Caenorhabditis elegans: one gene and its partners. The protein of the gene in region 1 interacts with the protein of each later gene in a pairwise test. Each region holds a gene or a part of one and is shown in the gene's direction. Other genes may lie near its edges.

Evidence for each region.
Region 2: the proteins of ftn-1 (region 1) and nfya-1 interact in a two-hybrid assay, tested with the Caenorhabditis elegans proteins (one large-scale study listed by BioGRID).
Region 3: the proteins of ftn-1 (region 1) and gst-33 interact in a two-hybrid assay, tested with the Caenorhabditis elegans proteins (one large-scale study listed by BioGRID).
Region 4: the proteins of ftn-1 (region 1) and Y39A1A.3 interact in a two-hybrid assay, tested with the Caenorhabditis elegans proteins (one large-scale study listed by BioGRID).

Annotation. Positions count from the first base shown.
Region 1 is NC_003283.11:7,544,829-7,550,341, reverse strand, and holds ftn-1 (Ferritin), read left to right. Parts: upstream 1-2,762; 5' UTR 2,763-2,778; coding exon 2,779-2,835; intron 2,836-3,295; coding exon 3,296-3,649; intron 3,650-3,695; coding exon 3,696-3,797; 3' UTR 3,798-3,874; downstream 3,875-5,513. Other genes in the region: C54F6.19 (SWIM-type domain-containing protein), read right to left, coding at 4,751-4,855; putative Na(+)/H(+) antiporter nhx-3, read left to right, coding at 5,504-5,513.
Region 2 is NC_003284.9:11,941,959-11,948,715, reverse strand, and holds nfya-1 (Nuclear transcription factor Y subunit nfya-1), read left to right. Parts: upstream 1-1,877; 5' UTR 1,878-1,913; coding exon 1,914-2,105; intron 2,106-2,391; coding exon 2,392-2,722; intron 2,723-2,765; coding exon 2,766-2,858; intron 2,859-2,918; coding exon 2,919-2,989; intron 2,990-3,045; coding exon 3,046-3,132; intron 3,133-3,179; coding exon 3,180-3,264; intron 3,265-3,391; coding exon 3,392-3,619; intron 3,620-3,695; coding exon 3,696-3,822; intron 3,823-3,877; coding exon 3,878-4,112; 3' UTR 4,113-4,431; downstream 4,432-6,757. Other genes in the region: F55G7.3 (BLVR domain-containing protein), read left to right, coding at 6,665-6,757. UniProt on the Caenorhabditis elegans protein: Component of the sequence-specific heterotrimeric transcription factor (nfya-1-NF-Y) which specifically recognizes a 5'-CCAAT-3' box motif found in the promoters of its target genes to regulate their expression and control cellular identity in particular tissue types.
Region 3 is NC_003283.11:3,466,355-3,471,606, reverse strand, and holds gst-33 (glutathione transferase), read left to right. Parts: upstream 1-3,044; 5' UTR 3,045-3,117; coding exon 3,118-3,177; intron 3,178-3,441; coding exon 3,442-3,835; intron 3,836-3,886; coding exon 3,887-4,074; 3' UTR 4,075-4,156; downstream 4,157-5,252. Other genes in the region: srbc-29 (Serpentine Receptor, class BC (Class B-like)), read left to right, coding at 725-819, 871-947, 996-1,360, 1,677-1,784, 1,831-1,929, 1,971-2,117.
Region 4 is NC_003281.10:10,592,652-10,598,000, reverse strand, and holds Y39A1A.3 (Sjogren's syndrome/scleroderma autoantigen 1 (Autoantigen p27)), read left to right. Parts: upstream 1-1,513; 5' UTR 1,514-1,532; coding exon 1,533-1,772; intron 1,773-2,114; coding exon 2,115-2,211; intron 2,212-2,344; coding exon 2,345-2,643; 3' UTR 2,644-2,743; downstream 2,744-5,349. Other genes in the region: epg-6 (Ectopic P granules protein 6), read left to right, coding at 869-1,044; Y45F3A.9 (rRNA methyltransferase 1, mitochondrial), read left to right, coding at 2,839-2,939, 3,477-3,590, 3,752-3,875, 3,929-4,089, 4,149-4,489, 5,036-5,079; Y45F3A.8 (ShKT domain-containing protein), read left to right, coding at 5,212-5,320.

The DNA of each region.
Region 1 (5,513 bases):
GGAAAAAGACACCTCTGCATGGTAGATTCGGTATGATTTTAATGGTGGCGGGCTTTTTTACCGAGGCGACAAATCCCTGGACAGATTAAAAAGTAGAATACGGAAATTCAAAAAGATACATTGAAATTTTGTGAATCAATTAATAATCTGTCGTGATTTGTGCAGAGGTGAACAAATCATGCGGGTTTTTCTATGATTTCAAACACAGGCAAAGCGGGTACGGTCCGTTTACGGATCTTGGACCGGGATCGGACCATTAACGGGTGAACTACGGATATGAATAGCGGGACGGACCAATTACGGGCAAACTACGGGGAATGTAAAAAATGGCCATTAAGAGGAAAAAATGGATTTTAAGAAAACGAATTGTTTTTAATACCTATGATACCAGTTGGCTAATTTAAGCATTTTTACGTCGTTAAATGCATTATTTAGAGCAAACACCACATTTACCGACCGAGATGGCTCTTGAGCCGTAGTTGGGCCGTTTCCGGTCCGTAGAAGGTCCGTCGCCGGCCCGTAGACGGACCGTAAATGAACCGTCCCGGGCACCAAATTTTTGTTTTTGAAAATTTCAGGTTCTAGCACGGAAAAAGTGCTGAAATTAGCTAAAGGAGAGTACCCTCTCCTTCTCTCTTCGGCACTTCAAAAACTCCATTTTCATGAAAAATTTTTTCGTATTATCCTCCGTTTTGGTGATCATCCGTAGTTTGGCCGTAGCCGGTCCGTAGATGGTCCGTAAATTACCCGTCCCGGTCGGCAAAACTGCACTTTTTAAAACTAAACCTTGAATCAGGCAAAAAATTAACCAACTGGCTACAATGAACCAAATAGCATTGTAGGTACTTCAAAAACTCAATTTTCATGAAAAAAAAATTCCTCTGGGCAACCATTTTGTCTATCATCTGTCCGACTGGTCCGTACGCGGCCCGTAATCGCATGCGATCTAACTGAGGCTATTAAGCAGAACATTGTGTGTAAAAGAGGTTATATTAATGTATATAAAAATATCAATAAAAAAGATGAAATGCCACAATTGGGTAGATACTGTGTATACGCAACGTTCACTCTCTCTCTGCTGGTCTTCTTCAGCTGAGCAACAGGAGCATTTTTTGAAATATCATAAAATATTTTACTAACAATACATTCTGGAATCATTCCTGATATCGTTTCTGTTCCGTGTGTATTTTAAGAAATTAAGGTATCATTCAAGTAGAACGCATATACCTTATTTCCTCTATTAGTCTTGCAACCCTACGGTCCAATCGAAAATTAGTCTTGCATGCAAGACTAATAGAGGAAATATGGTAAGTACCATTTCTGTATTACAAGTAGATGGAGCACAAATAGGTAGATGTTGAGAAATATGCGAAATAAGTTCTGGACTACACGAAACTGTCAATTGTTATCGTTCGTTTTCATATAAGTCCAACGGCAAGATGGAGAATCAGAAACTACTGAAAATACAATCGAAAAAGTTGGTGTAAGCCGTGAAAACCAGAAGAAAATGCGCTGATCGCTATTTATGCGAAGTCTCTTGATATTCCTCGCGTGCGCGAATGGCCACACGGAAAGGTGATGGGCCAGTAATCAATCGACAGGCAGTGGACAAGTTCAACCCCGGCTGAGGCAGATAGAATTGCTACAACGAAGGATCACCGGAAGACGGTCTGGAGGAAGACCGGAGCTTGGAGCATTGGGAAAGAAAAAGGGGGCAGCTGGAGGGTGAAAAAATTTTCCCATTTTTTAGTCTCCTTACGGTTCAATTACGGTCCGTTGACGGACCGGGAATCGAACCGTGAACTGTTCTTTAATTTGAGCCGTTCCCGGTCCGTGAACGGACCGTTTTGGGCACTTTCCGCTTTGCCTGTGAAAAAACAGTTCCACTGAAAAGTGTTTTTTTGTAATTTTTGATACTTGTTCAAGTTATTAAATGGTCTGCTCAGTTTTCAGTGTTTTTTTTTTGAATTTCGCTTTAACCTGAACCATCCTAATTCAAAAGTATCAATATTCTGACGCAATATTTAAATTTTTTTTGTTAAACTATATCACTTTTTCCATCCAACTTTTGACTGTCAACAGCTCACGTAGCCAATGATAAGAGCGGCACGTACCGTTTGTTATCACTAAATTTTGATGCACGTAGCCAAAATAAATGCTAATCAACATGTCTTAGGGCAGCTCATGTGATGCCGAGACAACCATACATCAACGTTAAGAAAGTGTAGATCATCATTTGATGAGAATTGGGTTTTGTTTGGATCAGGAAAAACCGGAACTTTTTATTTCAGAATTTAGGGCGTTCACTGGAAACGTTCTAACAATACTGGTATAATTTATCTCCCAAAAAACACTTTTCAAGTTTATAACCTATATCTAAGTTTAAAAATTTTGAGTACAGGACAAGTATGAGTTTACGAAGCATCATATTAAAATCAAAATGTAATGTGAATGTGGACGCTAGAAAGCCAGGCGAAAAGGGACATCACACTTCTGCAAAAAGTTATTTTCATTCGGCGATCCTTGGATGTAGTTTTCTTACAGAAGGTTAAGCTTCTCAAAATGTACTTCAACACTTAGGTTTCCATATTAGTTCATTGAAACGCATGTTTCTGTAAACAAGAACCCTTTCGTTGCCAATATGTAATGTGCAAAAATCATAATCAGTTTATCAATGATCACAATCACAAACTCCGCCCCCAGAGTTGTCCAGTTTAAAAACACCCACAGTCCCGGACACGTAATCAAGTCATTATATTTTCTGCCAAGTAAATCGTCATGTCTCTAGCTCGTCAAAACTATCACGATGAAGTCGAAGCGGCCGTCAATAAACAGGTATGATCATTGTTTTGACAAATGGGAAAAATATATTAGGAAGGTTGGAAATTGAGAAGAGATTTAGAAAAAGAGAGGATGTGTCGTGAGAAAATTAATCACTGATGTCTGGTTACTTTAAATTAGGAATTTAACTGATTAATAAAAACATTGAAACACACCACACGCTTATTTTTCCAACCGGCAACATTTTGTTTTTTTTTAACGAACAAGGGCAGGCAGACAGTACCTGAAGAAGCGCAATTTGATCATGGCAGCGTCGATGATTTCTTTGCTCTTATGCCAGTCATCCAAAAAAAATATACAGAATAGGCGGCAGTAGATAGACGAGCACGTGAGACTGAAAGCGTCTACAATAAAAATCCTATCTGAGCTTGCTTTTGAACTGGACGAAATTAACACTGAAATGCTTTTAAAATTAGAAGTATTACTCAATTAAAAGCTTAAATTACCTTTCCAGATTAACGTAGAACTCTACGCCTCCTATGTCTATCTATCGATGTCTGCACACTTCGATCGTGATGATATCGCACTTCGGAACATTGCCAAATTTTTCAAGGAGCAATCGGATGAGGAGCGTGGCCATGCCACAGAGCTCATGAGAATTCAAGCTGTCCGTGGAGGACGTGTTGCCATGCAGAACATTCAGAAGCCAGAGAAAGACGAGTGGGGAACTGTCCTTGAAGCATTTGAAGCCGCACTTGCTCTAGAGAGAGCCAATAATGCATCTTTGTTGAAGCTTCATGGAATCGCCGAACAACGCAATGACGCGCACTTGACAAATTACATTCAGGAGAAGTATTTGGAAGAGCAGGTTGGCATTTTCAGTTTAAACTCCTATTTTTATAACGTTTATTAAGGTACATTCGATCAATGAATTTGCTCGCTACATTGCAAATATCAAGAGAGCCGGCCCAGGACTCGGAGAATATTTGTTCGACAAAGAGGAATTTTCTGATTAATAATTTTTATTTGATGTATTTATTGTACATATGGATGAAATTGTATATTTACTGAAATGAAACACATTGAAAACTTCAGAGATTAGCAGTTCCTAAAAAGGTTCAACCTTTTTTCAACCTTTGTGGCGGAAATCTGAGACACATAAGGTGTTTTTTAAATGTTTATTTGGAAAAACCGTTAGTATATGGAATTAATACAATATAAGGGAAATATTTTGTATTGAAGCTTACAAGAAGCTTTCATTGTTTACAGCGCCATGTGGAATTCTACGTTTTCAGATGTTTTCCCAAAAACAACATAATATATTTGTTCTGGGTATATCAAAAGATTTCCAAAAAAATTATTTCTAATTTTCAAAAAATATCTCTATCGATGTGGAAAGTGTTGTAGAACTTAAAAAAGTTTCTGTATACTTTCAGACAGAATTTTTGTTTTCAATGGCATTTTTTGAATGTTTTCATAACCAACGTGGCTCAATAATGTTTTTGAAATGCACTTATGTACATTTTTGTTCTTAATTATATTTTCAAAACAGCTTCATTTCTTTAAATAATGTGTATATTTAAAAAAAAACCAAAATTGATTAATTTGCATGTTTGAAGTTCGTTAAAATATCTCTAAAAATATATGGATAGAATTTTGGTAATTATTACGCTTCAACTGGAGGTTTACTCAAACCAAATTTTGAATTTTAAAAGTTAATGAATTGAGCTTCATTTCACTTTTTTGTTATTTTCTTGATTGAATACTTTTAGTTTGTTGGAAAAACTGTAATTTCATTAATGTCTTGGTTTTTTTCTCAAAATGTTGAAAAAAAGAAAAATAATTAAACAAAACATAGGAATTATTTTGAGGATATGAGTCACTTACAGACGAAGATTCTAAGAATGCTTGATTTTTTTTTGGTTGACCATTCTATCTAAATATTTCCTCAATAACTCTTCTTTGGAAATCATTGTTTTCTTATTGTGAGAAAAAGTTTTTTTGCAATATGAGAACATTTTATTGTATAAAACTGCGAAAATTTTTCTAGACACGTTGGGTCTTGCTGCGACATTTCCGAATTTATCAGGTATTGTGATGGCACGGTAGAGTATGATAAGATTACTGTAGTAGGCTTTACGATTCTGAAAGAATTAGTATTACGGAAGGAATAGTTTTACCAAAATCAAGTCTTAATTTTTGTAGTAAAAAAAACGAGAGATTGGACGGGAATCCGCATTCACGAGGGAAAAAATTTCAAAATTTAAAATTTAAATGCGTCCCTTTCGAGATTTTTTGCTTACTGGTAAATTTAGAAAAATTTAAATTTAAAAAACTTACAACTTTAAATCTAACTCAAGAAAACTAATTAATCTCTACTTCCAAATGACGTCACTTGTAACACAATTACTTTCAAATTGTATCAGTTTATCATCAGTATCTCATTTTAACCTTTGATTCACTTTATTGTTACCTTGTAACAGAAGACGATGTGTGTATCAATTGGGACGTTACGATTTCTCTTTTTTTCATCGTAGACAAGGCACTGTTGTTTTTATAGCCCCCTACATTGTATTGATGACTTTTCGATTTTTTTTTTCTGGCGATGCCTTTTGAAACTTATGTTAATGCATACTTTTTAATAGTTCAAAATCAAATTTTTGTTTGAAAAGTTGCTTCTAGTTTGATAGGTTTTTTTACCTAAAAATTTGAAAATTTGCAGATGCTGTCAA
Region 2 (6,757 bases), on another chromosome or scaffold:
ATTCTATTAATATTTAATAATTAGGTAATTTTTTTTATTATCGAAAATGTAAAACTTAACATAGAATATTAAAAACATGAAAGAAAAAACCAACTTGTTATTTTTTCACATAACGTAATGGAATTTTAAACAATTCAAAAAAAATTTATAAACCAAAGACATTGTGAGAAAACACCTAGAATATTTAAGTTACAGATGACCATTTTCGGAAAACGGCAGATGGTGTGCAGCGTGCGCGGTTGCGTCGCGGCTCTGTGCACACTAGGAAATGAGAAACAGAGTCTTGAGGACTGTACGGGACCAGTTCAAAACACTAATCTGTCGTCAAACGTTGCGCCGTCTGTGCATTCAGTCACTGAGATGTTTGCGGACTTGGTTGTTTTCCTTCTTTTTTTGCGGTTGTAAAAAACAATGGAACCAAACAAAATGAAATGCCAGGTGTATTTGATTGGAAATCTTTAATAAATTAATACAATAATTTTATTGAACAATATATCATGTATTGTCTATTTTGTTTAGAAGTTTCAGAATGAACCCCAATGCTATAAATTATGTGTTGGGATCTTCTTAAATCTGATCTTAAAAGTTGAAATAAAATTTGTGTAACGTTATTTCATTGTCAGCGACGAACTACTGTTATTTTTCTCGTAATACCTCAATACATAATTAATCAGCAATTAGGGTCTTTTCAAGCATAATGCTATCCATTTTAGGTTTGTATAGCTTCAAGTCACATGAACTTTGGCAAAGAAGTGCACAGAAAAAAATTTTGAAGTTAAGTCGGGATACGAAGGAATCAATGCTAAGTTCGGCAGCTAGTGGAAGTCTCCTGTATGTTACAGATGTCCAGAAATTGCAAGATTGCACAAATGCTCTTGTTGATTTTAACTCCAAAACCAGGAAAATGATAGCTTATCCGTTTCAATTATTTTAGCTTATTCCCTTTTTTTCTGTGGAGGAATTTGAAAAATTTTCAATCAATTTCGGTTTTTTCAGGGTTCCTCCATGAGAATATTATTTTGATGTACATGCATACATCGATTTGTACTCCCAAATGGAAATAAATTGCTTCTCTGATCTGATTGTGAAGTCAAAATGATCAAATTTGAAGCTCCTTACAATTGGCCATCAAAGAAACATTTGCATTATTGTTAGCGATGTTGTAGAAATGTGTAAAATTCCTGAAAAGCGAGTGGAAAAAATCACTTGTAATAATTAAAAACTTCTTGCTAATCGCAATGATCCATTCGGGACGTTATCATCAGACACTTCCTAAATCAATTGGTTGTTGGATGCATATTCATCGTCGTGAAGAACAACCTTGGGGTGCGTACGTGCGCGTTGCGGTCACTACATTCTCTCTTCTCCCTCTCCTCTCTGGTCAACACAAATCGATACGAACATTGAGCGTGTACGTGAAGGGGAATTTGTCGTAAAATAGTGCGCATTGGTGCATTTGGTCGTCTCGGTGATTGCAGTCGTTGCTACTAGGGTTCGATACTACGAGACATTTTTGCATACTAGTTTTGCCATTTTTTTTCTGCAGAAATAGTTTTTGAACTTTGAGAGACACTAAAAGTTTAAAATGTAAACTTTTAAGTCATGAAGTTTTTTTCCACCGTTAGAATTCACTACTTCAAAATTATAAAAACCTTTCTTACTTTCTCTCATCTTTTTTTTCGAGAAAACTTTTCAATTATTCTGATTTTCTGAGAATTTAACATTTATTGAATGAAAGTTTTATTTAGACGTTTTGATTTAACGAAAATAATGTTTTACCATAACTTTGTCAATTTTCACCGTTTTATCGGAAAACCATATAAAGCTCAAATAGCCTCAAACACGGAATGTTTCATTATTGATTAATCATTTTTCATTTTCAGGTAAATCCAATCATCAAAAAACAAGACAAAATGAATGGAGCGTCGAGGGGCGACGTGCAGCGCCCCACTCCAGTTCAAGCTCCGGCAAAGCGACCAATTCCGCCTACAGTTTTCCGATTCGAGAAGGCATCCAAAATCGGGACTTCACTGGATACTACACCCAAAGAACTTCCCATAAGACGTCCCGTTCCACTACCAGGACCGCGTTTCGTGAAAGACGTGGTAAGATTAGTTTTTTTTTTCTCAACTTAAATCTGGCATAATAATTTGAAAAGTAATTTTAATTTTTCCTGCCAAATGAACTAAACTCGTCCCTTTCCGTCGATGAAAAAGTATCAAGAAATGTTGAAATGTTGACAAAAAGTAGGAGATGAGTTACACAGTAAAATTAAAAATACAATGAGATGTCATTTAATGGAGAAACAAATGTTGCTAAAACTCTGATGGTATTTATGAATCTTTTTTCGATGTAATCTCAAAGATAAAACTAACCCTATCTTGATTTCAGAACCCCTCACCTCCAGCTACTTCTTCGCCGAACGTTCAAACACAATGCCACCAACCTCCAGTTGTAAGATCTCAAACTCATCAAGCATCAGTTTCACAAACAACGCCTACTCAAACTACACCCTCTCAATATACTCCAGCTAGCGTTTCTACAGCTCGAGCCCCACAATTCCATAGATCGTCCCATGTTACACCTTCACAACAACAACGAATTGAACAAGCATTTGGCCCAGCTCCGGTTTCTCAATCACAACCACAGAACGGCAGTTATATCCAATATAATGAACCAAGCACATCGGTGGCATCTACGACTACCTCATTTTACAGTCCAAGTGAGTGAAGCTAAGTATATAATTTCAAAATTTTTATTTACAGACGAGTCTGAGCCCGTATTCACGCATGCAATATCTTTTAAACCCAATGAACCCGAGAATGGACAGAAAGCAAGGGAGCAACTAGAGTTGTTAGGTATGGTAAATTTTTGATATGTGTGTAAAGTCTACACTGTAAACATACTTATCTATTCAGATTCTGGAAAAATCAATGAGATTAATCAGTCAAAAGTTCCGACGACAATAGAACTGCCGCCAAACTGCAAGGTTAGGGAGTTTTACATTTGTATGTAGATCTAAAGTCAATTTAAATCTGTTTTCAGCTGTTTCAATATTCATGGGTGCTCGACGGAATACCTAGGACGCTTTTGGTTCCAATGCCAATGGATGCAACGGAAGAAGATGTGAAGGTTGATTATAAATTGTGAAAATATCTCCTACAAACATAGAGTTTCAGGCAATGCTTCCAAAAACGTTGGAAATGGATTCAAATCTTTTTAACAATGCTCGGCCCAGGGATGAACTACCAGTACTATCTTTCCGTAAGTCAGATATTTTTTTTCTTTTCACGGGATAATTTAAATTTACACCCAGAAAAATATATTCCGCAAAACTGCATCGGCAATAAAATTATTTTAAACGGTTCCAATGAATAATACCTTTTTTCAGCAAACGGAACAGTACCCAATGTAGAAATGATTGGTCCAAAAGTGCAACAACCCATGCTGGTCAATCCGAAGCAGTTCAACAGAATTATGCGAAGACGTGAGATGAGGCAACAGCTTGAAGCCAGTGGACGGCTCCCACTTGCTCGCCAGAAGTATCTCCACGAAAGTCGTCATCTTCATGCACTAAAACGCAAGAGAGGGCTTGATGGGCGTTTTGACAATACGAAAAGTAAGCAGATTTTCAAAAAATTGTATTAGTGGAAAGATGTTTTGAACTTGAATGTTTAATTGTTTTTACTTTCCAGCAGCCGAATCGTCATCAATGGTCAGCAGTACAACGTCTCCCAGAAAATTGAAACGCCGGAACCGCTTACCTGGTGAAGAAACTTCTGATTCGTCCTCAATAGTTCTCCCATCGCCAGTTGAAATTCAGTTAGTTTTTCTTATTTAAAATTGTTTCATTTTTCAATATGTGTGAATATTTCAGACCAAAGGGCGGGATAGTCAATTCATCGATGCCGTCGACGTCGACTGGATACATCAATAATGGCATGGATCATCAAACGGATTATATCGAGCATCAGCAACCCATGTCTACCTACGACCAATATCACGACCACGTCCAATATATCGCGCCGGATGGTAATGTGAATTACCACAACAATCATGACAATGGCGTCGATTTAACTGGAAGTGATGGACAAAGTTTCACGAATCTCTAATTTTATTAATAGCTTAATGTGTATTGCAACCGTTGCCAAACAAAATTCACCTCACCAAAATCATTCATGTTCCCTACGCTTTTTGCCACAGAAATGTACCTTCTCTTATTGACCGATCTTTTCTTCGGGATTATGCCCATTTCTCTTTCAATGTTTTCAAATTTTTTATCCTCATTATGCATTTTTTAAATCGTCATGTTGGGTTATGTCAGTCTTCAAACTATCCAATGAAAAGCTACACTTTTTTTAAAAGTATGACAGCAAAACTTCGTGTCATAATTGTCTCAAATATAAATCTGTATTGTTAAAAAGCTTCAAAATGTGCTACCACTCTAATATTGATTGTGTTCATGCAATTTGCAAACGAACATTCCCTTCATGCAAGTAAAAACATTTGAAAATTACAGTTTTAGTGTCAGCTAGCACTTTGCAGGAAACAAGCAAGGGCGGTGCCATGTGGATATAGGATTACGGCTTGATCTACAAAAATCTGACACCACATGTGATGGTAATCATGTAGTTGCTGTTCCCCAAATGCTGTTAATGAATTTATTTTTGAAATGAATAATTGTTCCGAAAATTTATTCACACAAATAATTTTTCCGAAACTTTTTCATTTCTAGGCTCAGAAATCATGATTCCTAGCAAATCTAAAAATAAAAAAAATCAGGTATTAGTTTTTCAATTTTGAAAATGTTGTGATATTTTGTGGTACGCATATTGAACAGGTTCCAATTCAATTCTGCATCCCCGTAAAATTTTTTTACTGCCACTTACTTGGAAAAAAGGGAAAAAAGAATACTAAATTTTCAATTCATCCAACAAAAAAAAAATAAAACTGAATCACAAACTGTAAAAATTTGCAATATCATGTTTGGCCATTCTCGTTGTGTTAGGTGTCATAGTCAGTCCACCAATGCGTTCACATTTGTCGAAATCACAAAGAACGACATCTCAATGTGAATCGTTGTTTTGAACACTTGTGATAAGTTCAATAAACATTTCAATAAGACATGAAAAAATAAACCACATATTATCAAAAAATATCAATCGCACAGGCCACGTGGCTTTTGTTTTTTATTTCTTTTTTATTTACGCTCTTCCCACAACTTTATTTTCAAAGATAATTTAAAAACTGAACTAAAGGTCAGACGTGGGAGGAGCGTAAATAAAAAAGAAATAAAAAACAAAAGCCACGTGGTCTGTGCGATTGTTATTTTTTGATAATAATATAATGTTACTTGAAAACTATTGTTCTAAAACAAATGTGTCTGATACAAAACTGCGAACATATTTTTTGCATAAATCAAACTTATTTAACGCTTTTATGACAATAAAAAATTGCATTGACTCACAAGACAACCCCCCAGTTGTCCCACTTCAATCCACTATAAAATTGTTTCTCTACAAATTTTACAAACATGTTTCAAGTTGTTGGCATTAGAATTTTGGGTAACACTGTTTTGGCACGCCCAAAAAAATGTTCAACCAGTTCCAACTGACAATTTTTCAACATAAAGTATGAATTGTTCAGAAACATAATAACGGCACATCTCACTATTTTTGAAAGCTCACAATGAGTTTGATTATGCATCTGAAAAAATTATATTTCGAGGTTTTTCACATACGCGTTCTAGAAAAACTTGTTTCACGTAATATATCAATTGTTAAAAACGTCATTAATAATCTTTTGATTTCACACATGACTCTCACAATAGGAGCAAAGTTAACACCCCTGACGTTTATTTTTGCAATTTTGGTAGATTTTCATTTGTTGACGTCGCAACTCATTAACTCCTCCTCACGTGTCTCCCCTATCAAGTATGAAAACATCAATTATATTTGTACACTTTTGCAATAAGTGTACCCTCTATGCGTCAAATCCACTAATGAATCTCAATTATCCATTTCGTAACTTAAATTTTTGTTCTTTTGAATTTTACACCTTGGATTTTTTTTAGCTAGTTTCCTTATTTTTGTTTTTTTTTCTCCCTATATTTCAATTTCTTATCCATTTTTTTTATTTTTCTGGCCAGCGTGGACCTTCCTTTTGCTGTGCCTGAATTGTTTCTCTATTTTCTCTATTTTGATTAATTCTTTACATTTTATGACTTGACGTTCAGAACCGATTTGCCCACAGTCTATTCGAAAGTAGTTTCTGCGAAACCACCGAAAGTCTGGTTTCGGAGTGGTTAAATTGCATTTCTGATTTTATGATTCGAGCTTATGTTGAGTATATAAACGTAAAATACCCCCAAACCGTTATTCCACCTTTAAGATCTCGGCTACCTCGGTTTTGCTATTCACCTTCGCAACTTCACACGTGTCTCCCATAGCAACTAAAAAAGCATTAATTAGCTTTCTATATATCTTCGCAACACATTCAGATGTATGTATGCGCTACATCGCCGTATTCTAACTTTTCCGTATGAACCACATGAACCACGTGGTTTATGAATCAAAACATGATTTTGCATCTGTGCCCATTCTCTTAGCTTATTTCCGTCCTGTTTTGTTGTTCCTTGATCTAAATGTTTCTTTTTCAGTTAATCATGGACCCTGAATTCTTAGACTCACAATCAGATGAATCATCCGACGACTCGTACGATCCCAGTTACAATCCAAAGCTAGGGAGCGGATTTTTA
Region 3 (5,252 bases), 4.1 Mb from region 1:
AACATCATAATATTTTTTAAATTTCATCCTCACACAACTTATGCTCACTTAAAAAAATTATGTTTGAGTGGCATATTTTGAGAATTTCTTAAATTTTGATATTTTCAATTGATTTCCTAACATTTTTCCTGTGGAAATTTGGTTAATTGTGACAATCTTAATATAGTTGTTCATCAAAACTAGGGTTTCGTGGGAGGTGGATAAACGCCAATTGCCGTTAATGAAAAATTTGAATATAAGTAAAACTGTTCATTTTTGCAATTTTTCCAGTTTTTCATAATTTTTTCAAAGAATGTCCTCCTCAGTTTTCATGATAATTTTAGGAAAATTTCTCGATTTTGCTGCTTAAAATCAAATTTTCAGCATTTTTTTGTAATACAAGAAAGCTGTTGGTAATTGGCAAATTGGTGAAATTCCAGTGTGCCGGTTTGCTGAAGTTTTAATAAACGGCGACTTTTTTTACCTAAAAAAAAATTTTGCCTAAAAATATTGGACCAAAATAGTTTTCACATATGATCTGAATATTAAATGTTTTCATTTTAAAAAAATTAAATCCTTTCTTCCTCCCTATTCACATTTTTAAAAAGCACATGAGAGTGAGGGTTTTTTGCCGCTTCAATAAAAAGTTTTGCCTTTTTTTCGCTGTTTTTTGCCGAATTTTTTGCCGCTTTGCTTTCAACAGTAACTGGCGGAATATTTATGATTTTCAGGAAATTAATCCATTATGAATACCATCCTTGTACTGGTACTTGTGACTGGTATAGTCTGTGCAATATTTGATGTCCTACTTAATCTCAATTTAGTATGGATAATTGTTTTGTGAGTCTAATTTTTGCATGCCATTTTTCTCATTATATTCATTTATTCCAGGAAAAAATCCCAGCGGAAACCTGAAATGCGATTATTTTATTATCGATTCGTTCTGGACGTTTGTTTTGGTCTGTCGTGTAAGCTTAAACCAGTGTTTTCTTTTTTTCTAATTAAAAAATTTCCAGTGTTGTCATACATCAGTTTCCTTTTATTTTATTCTGAGAATTCATTGTTTATGGTCGAACATCGCAGCTTTTTAATTTTTTTGGGCCTTCCTTGGTATATTGTCGGATCATGCCGTTCTATAATCGCACTTTCAATTGCACTAGAACGAGCCACTGCAGTGTACTTTCCAATTTTATACAGAACTAGTGCTCAGAATGTTCCGAAATTTTTAATTTTCCAAGTTGCCCTGGTATATGGCTCTTTCGATTATATAGTTCTATTTGTATTTTGTGACTGCAAAACAAATTTAATTCCTGAAAACTGCAAGAATTTCGGTTGTGCAGTTAACAAATGTTTCTCCAACTATTTCAGAATTCAAAGAAGTGTAAGTAAACTATACAATAAGCAGCAGACATTTTTCGGTTTCGGGCAGTTTTTGAGTTTTTTTGGGAATTTCTAACTCGATAAAATATTTCCACCTGTCAAACTTGAAATAATAGTGAAAAAGCGGAATAGGGCAAAAGTGTAAAATTATGGTTTTTAACCCGGGACTATTTTGGCCTCCTAATAAATTTCAAATATTTGTTTCTGAAAAAAATTTTGTTTCTAAAAATTCAAAAAATCTGGAAAAAAAAGTTTACCAGGTGAGACAGGAAATGTTTCTAAAACTTCCAAACACAACAAAATTCTATTCATTTCAGACTGTATTTTCCATCAACGTATTTGTATCTATACTTCTCTTTGTCAATTTATTCCTACGAAATCGGAAATACTTAAAGAAACATCCAATCAATAACAAACCTACAAAAGTAAAAACATGTTACTAAATTATTTTTTCAATTCCTCAATTTCCAGGCAAATCGTCTGGCATTACTGGACACTTGTACAGTGTTTTTATTTGATTTTCTTCCGGTCTTTTGCGGCGGGATGTGGCCTAACATTTTTTCAATTGAAGTAAAAAATTTTTATTTCTAAAATAAGTGCACCCTTTACAGGTTCTGGGTCCTTTTACAGCGGTAATGAAAACCATCGGATGTGCCATAGAATCAACAGTCGTCTCAAGTCTCTTGTATTTTGGAAAGCCAAAAAGTGCAAAAATGAAAAGTTCGGTCGCGGTTGGGCAATTTAAAATTTCCAGATAGCTTTTGAATTTTTCGATTTTTTATAAAATAAAACATATATTTGTATCGGAATGCCAAATGACGACTGCAAATAAAATTTCATTATGGTATTTAGGCCCTTTTGATAATTGAAAAATCGAAGTTCCAACCAGGAGTGGGCGGCAACGATTTTTTCAGCAAATCGGCAAATCGGCAAACTACTGGAATCGAAAATTTCCGCCAAATCGGTAAACTGGTAAACTGTCGATTTGCCGAATTTACCGGAACAACGGCAATTGCCAAAAATTTTCAGAAAATTGTAGTTTTGCACATTTTTTTGTTGAAAATTTCTGAATTTTTATTTTAACCGGCAACATTGTACGCATCTCATGTATGCTCTTACATCTATTTTGGAAAATAAGCAAATTCCTTCGAAAATATCTAAACCAAACGAGACAATTTTGTAAAAGGCACAGTTTAAAGTGTTTGCGTCTTATAAAAAATCGCTCTAAAAACTTCCGGCAAGTTGATGTTGGGCAAACGGCAAATCGGCAATTTGCCAAAAATTAAATTTTCCGGCAAATCGACGAATCGGCAAACCATATTCAAACCCCAATAATTTTAAAATACAAAAAATTGAAATTAATTAAAATTTAAAAATCGCAGTAAATTTAAAGTTTTTGATTGCACTTAAAAACGTATTTCAAATTATTTTCGAGAAATTTTATTACAATTTTTCAAATCCAAAGCTTAAAACTCTCACTTCCTTAAAATAATTTTCTTCCTTCATAATCTTCACCCACATTCTACGTCATATTGGAGTATGTGTTTCTCATGCTTTGTGCCGATTATTTGTCTCACTCTCTACCACTCTCTCATTCTCCAATACTATTTTCCGTGCCTAGTTTGTGCCTAGACCCGAAACTGTGTACTTTCTGTTTCTATGAATTTTTCTGATCAAAATGTGACTGGGTGAGTATATAAACAGTTTTCGGAAAGTTTTTTCCCATCAGATTCTAAATTTGACACACTCGAGTTCAACATGACCAAGTACCGTCTTCACTACTTCAACGCTCGCGGATATGCAGAGGCTTCGAGAGCTGTAAGTTTCAACTTAAAACAAAATTGTCTAAATCCAAAATTGGTTACTTTTTGTGAAATTTTGCTTCTGAAGGTAAAACAAAATTAGAAGAATAAATCGTAGGAAAAAAATTATCTGGATCGAATTCCAAAATTTTTGAAAATCGGAGTTTCACTACTTTTTGACTACCCATAAAAATTTCTAAATTTTTAAAAAATTTCTACTACGAGACTTCAATTTTTTCGAAACCTTCCACATTTTTTTATTAACTGAAACTCTCTCCAGATGTTCCATATGGCCGGCGTCGAATTCGAAGATGTCCGATACGAAATCGATGACTGGATCAAGGAAGAAAACACCCTTAAAAACGAGATGCCGTTCGGGCAAATGCCTGTGCTAGAAGTCGACGGTGAGAAGATCCCACAATCCGTTGCAATCGCTCGCTTTGTTGCCAATCAACTTGGATTTGCTGGACAAACTCCGGTAGAGAAGGCCTGGGCTGACGCATTCACCGATCTTTACAAGGACTTCTTGATTGACATGAAGCCATGGGCAATGATTGCCTTTGGGTATCCTGGTGCTGCTGGGGATCGCGACGAGTTGAAGAAAACTTCGTTGGACCCTGCTAAGGAGAAGTATTTCAAGCTTCTGAGCAAGAGATTGGAGAAGAGCAAATCTGGTGAGTTGGAAAAAATAGAAGGCGTTGAAAAATTATATCATTTATTTCTAGGATTCCTCCTGGACAGTGGAATCTCGTTTCCCGATCTCTTCTTCTTCGAAACCACAACTTCTTTGATTGAGTTGGAAAAAGGATTTTTGGGAACCGATTTCCCAGTAGTCAATGCCTACTTCAAGCGTATCGCTGAGCACCCGAAGCTCAAGCCATATTTGGAAACAAGACCATACTCTTCAAAATAATTTTTTTTGGCTATTTGAAATGTTTTTTTCATGAATTGTAATGTTTTTGTAAACTATTTGATAAATATGAACATTGGAAATGTAGAAAAAGTTGAGAAAAACTTTATATAAAAATATGTTTTGCCTGAAAATTATACGTAAAAATTTTTATGAAAATTTTCAAAAAAAAACTGAAGTTTGTAACGAAACTATTAACAAACATTTGCAAAAAAATTTAATTATTCTTATAAAATGCAGTTTACCGGTTTCAAGCGATTCCGAAATGGACGCAGCAAATTCAAAATCTAGGAGTTGTTTAGCGCGCCCGACATATTCTGGGTTCCACCACCCACTTAAGAAACATAATGAATGACCGATCCCGAAAAAAGTCGGACGCGCAAAACGCCTACCTTTCGCTCACAATCAGTTTCGAAGTTCCCAAAATATGTATAATTTAATTATTTTTTTTCCGTTATATAAAACAGTTTTGAATTTCTCAATAACTCAATATACAGGGTGGGCCAAAAGTATGGTAACACGCTTGCAGCTCTATAACTTCACGTGTGGAGAGAGTTATTACATCAATTTGTACAAGTTTTGTTCTCCATAAAATACTGACCAGATGAACGTTTTGAATTTTCAAAATATCCCCATCCACATTGCTGCAGGCCTTCAGAACTTTTGAGATCACGATCTTTTTGGCACGCAAGTTGGCATTCTGCGGGATTTCTACATTTTTCTCAAGGAATCCATTAAGTTTCTTATAAGTTTTTATAGTTCAAAGAATGCTCTTGGTCTGGAGATTCTTTAAAAACAAAAACCCAAAAAATTTCTATCGTGGTATTTCTGTCATGGACTGTGGCAGTAGCTGAAGTCTTGAATGACACAGTCACCAGAAAGATGGATTGCGAAACCTAAAAAACTGAGTAAATTTCGCAAAGTTGAATTCATGAAATATTCAAAGGTTATTGCTAGGCGCCAGTGCCGACACAGAAAATTTTTATAGGCTACAAAAACAATCAAAAGCGCTTCTTCACTTCTTTAACTTTGAATTTAACATAAAAATCATATGTACATCTGAAAATTATTGGCGTGCGTGGGAGGTGTGTTTGTGTGGGAAGTGCCGCGTGCCAAAACACCGTTTTTTCGAAAGGGTTCGCTAAATTGCCGAGGTGATTAAAACCGCACCTTATTGGGAA
Region 4 (5,349 bases), on another chromosome or scaffold:
AATTTGGATTTTTGGAGAAAATCTTTTAAAAAAATGTACTGTTTTTTTTCCAAAAAATTGAAAAAAAAACATAAAAAATTTTAGATATCTCGGTTTTTTTATAGGAGAAAATCAAAAATCAATAATATTCGATTTGTCGATTTTTTCTTTAAAAAAAAACGAAAAAAAATCAGAAAACTATGGTTTTATCAAAAAATATGTTATTTTTCCGAAAAATAAAAGAAAATTGCCTTTAAACTATTAAAAAATGACCGGAAATTATTGAAATTTTGATATTTTTCAAAAAAAAAAATTAAGTTTTTTCTTAAAATCGAAAAAAATTAGTAAAAATAATTTTTAAAAAGGCGAGGAAACTATGGATTTATCAAAAACATGTTGATTTTTATGAGAAAAACTTAAAGAAATTACTGGAAATTATTAAAAATTTGATATGGAAAAAAATCGAAAAAAAAACCAAAAAACATACCTTTCCGAATTTTCTGAAAAAATTTGAAAACTAGTTTTTTATTTTTTTTAAATCGAAAAAAATTATTAAAAACTAGATAATTTCCAAAATAAATTCGAAAATATTCGGCTTAGAGATCTGATATTAATTTTTTTAAATCATGTCCATTTTGTAGACGAATGAGAAATTATTCTGTTAAAAATTCAAAATGTTCCCGATTTTATTTTTAGAAATTTCGAAAAAAATGAAATTGCCCTCAAAAAATAATTTTTCAATATTTTTGAAAATTTTCCAAGCGAAATTTTTTTTCTAAACATCGAAACAAATTATCTGAAAGCGTAGCCGTACGACTATTAATTTCATAATATAAATTTAAAATTATTTGAATATTTATACATATGCCCAATTTTCAAGAAAAAAAAGTTCCAGAAACGCCGAAAAATCTGCAAAGTATCATCGCAATCTGCGCAGACGCCACGTACTGGAGACACGAATTCTACAAGGACAACACTGGAAATTTCACGAGTCATTTTGGGTCTTACGACGAATTGATCGAGGTCGCCAACGATTCATCGTTCTTCCGTACGCCAGTCGAGTAGAAATGTGGAAATGTGTATAAAAAATGTTCAAAATTGTGCTATATTCATCACTCAAACCTGCCATGTGCCTTTAAATTGCTTTAAAAAAAAAGAAATAATGCCATTTTTTTTTCCCGAGAAAGCCCCTCCCAATTGTTGGCATTTTTCGCCCTAAAATTCAAATTTAAAGGTGCAAATGGCCCTACTCACTTCATTTTCCCTCCACTTTCAATTTTTCGTACTTTCTCTCTGAATTTCCTCCTCTACGTTGCGTTTTGCTCAATTTTTCTGTTTCTGTGTGTACATTTTTGTTATTTTTTCCTTCTCTTGGTTAAAAATCCGAATAAAATTCAATTTTTCGTTTAAATTTTTTAGAAACATTTTGAATTTTCCGTTTATCGATCGGCGAAATACTCTTTTTTTTTTCAGAATTTCGAATTTTCGAACCAGAAAAATCGAAAAAAAATCGAAAAAATCTTTTTTTTTCCAGCTTTTCCGTTGCTCAGTTTATGGTCCACAAGAAGTTTGTGAATCTGACGTCGACACGAGAATCCACGTGGATTGACAGAACCCCACATCCCGCGGCACGCAATTATCTCGACGAAATGGCACCAATCAACGGAATTCGTGATGATGACGCTGCGTCAATTCGTCTCCGAGATAGCTTTCGAGATGAGGTCTCGAAGCGAATGGGCGAACTTTTGTTAAAGGGACAGACGATGTTGGATGAGTACTGCCCGACTTGCAGTGTAAGATGAAGACTAATATTACGGTAAACACTAAATTCTGAGAATGCGTATTGGGCAAATCATTTGACACGCAAAATATAAAATATCTCGTAGCGAAAACTACAGTAATTCATTAATTGACTACTGTAGCGCTTTTGTCGATTTACGGGCTCAATTTTTGCAAATCAAGATCCCGTAAATCGACACAAGCGCTACAGTGGTCCTTCTAAAGAATTACTGTAGTTTTCGCTACGAGATATTTTGCGCGTCAAATATGTTGTGCAATACGTATTCTCAGAATTTTGTGCTCCGGTAATACGTGGCCACTGACTGATTATTTCAGTTCAAATTTTTTTTTTTCAGGGAATTCTCATGGAGGACCGAGCTCTCGTGCGTCGTTGCGTCACCTGTGAACTTTTCAGAGAAAAATCGTCGGTTATTGTCGGCGAGGTTTCATTGCGTAAGGGATTTTGTCGCAAAAAATTACTAAAAATTAAATTTAAATTTTTTTATTTGAATTTCTAAAGATCTTCTGAAAAATGTCTTACATTTCGTGGCGAGACCCAGAAATCTATAGACCTATAAATTTTCAGAAGACGAAGACCTGAATGAAGCTGTGAACAACAAGATCCCAACCCCAGCGGCTCCAGTGAATAAACCAGCGAAAAAAGCAGTGCTCCAGAAATCTGCTCCAGCGAAAAAGAAGGAAGCTGTTCCGGCTGCTGCTGAGCCATCATCGTCTGATACAATTGAATCAGCCACCACTGCAGTCCTTCAGAAGCTCGAATGGGCCACCGATCGGCTCAATTCAACGGAAGAAGTCGCTCGTGTCATGGATTTTCTTTCCGTCATTCAAAAATCTGCCGAAACTCTCAAGGCTCTCCGTATTTGAATCTCATGTTGCTCTTTTTGTTTTCGAATTTTGTGGTTCAATTATTGCTTGTTGGTATAATTTGAAACATTTTCAAAATAAATAAACGCTTTTTCCATTTAAATTAATTTTTGAAAAACGTAGTAGTAAAATGCAAAGTTTGAATATCGATTTTAAGGACAATTAGCAATCAATAATCTAGAAAAATTCAGAAAAATGCATCGGACCGCCCGAAATTTTGCGGAGATCAAGCCGAATTTGTTGTTCCGAAAAGCAAAAATGGCTAGGAAATCCGCGGAGAAATATGTGGCCAAAAAGTGGGTCTCGCCACGATTACATCCCAGAGTTTTCAAAATTTAGGTCATATCGAAAATAACGAGTAAAAAATTAATAATTATGTCTTTAAGCTAATTTTCAAGCTTTGGGTCCTGACACGAGTAAGACTTTTGAACTACAGTAACCACTCCAGTACTTTGCAAAGGTGTGTACCTTTAAAGAATACTGTAGTTTCAAACTTTGATTGCTCCTGAATTTTTGTCGATTTTTCAGACTTTGGATAAAAATGTGTTTACTGTTTAAAAAAACCATAAGTTAAAAAAATCGATAATATATCCGCAAAAACTAGAAATTACAGTACTCTTTAAAGGCGCATTCCCATGTGCATTCGGCACCGTATTTTTTAGGCAATTCATTCGCATTTGGGTATAAAAGCCATTAAAACACGAGAAAAACCAGGAAAAAACTGAAAAAAAATTAAACGACTGGTTACGGTAGCTGAAAAGTTATTGTCGTGCCAAGACCAAACAATACAAAAAAATTAATAGCGAGGTTCTACAAAAACGCTATTTTTACAGAATTCAAGTACCTGAACTGCAAGGAGAAGCACTTTTTGGCTTACATTCGGTTTTAGAGGCAATTCGTTCTGGAAAACGCGATTTTCATTCAGTTTTTCTGAAAAAAGCTGTCGAGTAAGCGGGTTTTTTATTTGTACGTAAAAATAGCTGTAATGTGTGCTAAAAAAAGTGCGATGGAGCGCATTTGCACTTGAAATTAAACATTTTTTAAGAAGTTTTTTTTTAACTACAAAATCGGCCCGCCCCTTTACTGGCAAAAAGTTGATTTTTTCCAGAAACCGTGCCGATTCTGACGCCCGAATCAAGGAAATCCTCTCACGAATCGATGAGCTCGGAATTCAAAAAACTCTGCTAACTGATGACCAACTCGATCGGCTCACCGAGTTTCAGCTTCACAATGTACCTTTAAATGCCGCTTCACTCTAAAAACTCAAAAAAAAAATTTTTTGCAGGGAATCTGCATGGACGCCAGCGCTCTGCAATTCTCAAATTTCGAGCCGAAAACCGTGTCGATTTTTGTGGATAAAGTGTTGGATCCTGGGAATTTGGGTGCAATCGGAAGAAGTGCATGGTATTTTGGAGCCGATGGGCTTGGACTTGTCAAGGGAAGAGGGTGAGAATTGGAACACCACATGATTTACGCTGTGGCCTAGAAAAAAACCGATTTTTCAGACCCAAATCGATTACCCCGGCAATGATCAAATCATCGTGTGGAGCCCTGGAGCATCTTCCAGTACAGCAATTTCTCAATTTCAACGAGTTTCGCGACAAAATCAAAGCTGCCGGCGGTGAACTCGTGGCGACTTGTGATCCTGGTGCTGCTGAAAAGGCTGGAATTTCGGCAAAATCACTGGATCAGTGGACACCGGAAAAACCCGTGGGCATTGTGCTCGGCGACGAGGGTGTCGGAATTAGTCGGGGGATTCTGAATCTTTGTGATACTGTGATATCGATTTCCCCAGTGAGGAAAGACGGATCCAATGTGACTTCGTTGAATGTTTCAGTTGTTGCAGGTACTTTCCCATTGGTCGGGACACTGTAGGATTACTGTAGTTTTAGAAAATTAAGTATTTGACGTTTAAAGGGACATTGAGTTGGGGTTAGTTGAGGGATATGGTTGGGGTACTGTAGTAATACTGTAGGGGTACTGTAGGAGTACTATAGGATTACTGTAGGATTACTGTAGTTTTGGAAAAATTGACTTTTCGTCTTTTGAAGAGATATTGACTTTGAGTTAGTAGGGGGATATGGTCGGGGTACTGTATTAGTACTGTAGGGGTACTGTAGGAGTATTGTAGGATTACTGTAGTTTTTGAAAACTTAGTTTACAAAAATGAATAACCTAGTTTCAAAGCTTAAATTCCAAAAAACCAATATGTTTCGTTTTCCGGTTTTCGAAAAAAAAAACAAACAGGAAAATTTTATTTTTTGAATTTCGAAGTTCTATGATTCCCGGCCATTGTTTTTGCTACTTTTAAATCAATAACCGCCCAAAAAACAGGTGGCCGAGTTTTTTTTCACGGCCATGTGGCACATATATACAAAATATCAATTTCCAGGCATCCTCCTTCACCACATTTCACTACAAAATCGTACAAATTGAAACAAGCAGCCATTTGGAGACGCTCAAAATTTGCACACCTGCTCACGGAGCCACCGCCTCTGGATATTAATAGTCATGTACAACCCCCTATATAATTGAGTGACCGGTCGTATCCATTTGTTAACAGAAAATATGTTCCTATTTTTCCTGATATTCCTGTTCTCTTTTGTTACTGCTAATGAAAATTATAATGATAAAAATGTTACTGAACTTTGCTCAAATGGAGTAAAACCTGGAAATTGTGAGTGTTGTTTATTGATTTTTCAGCCT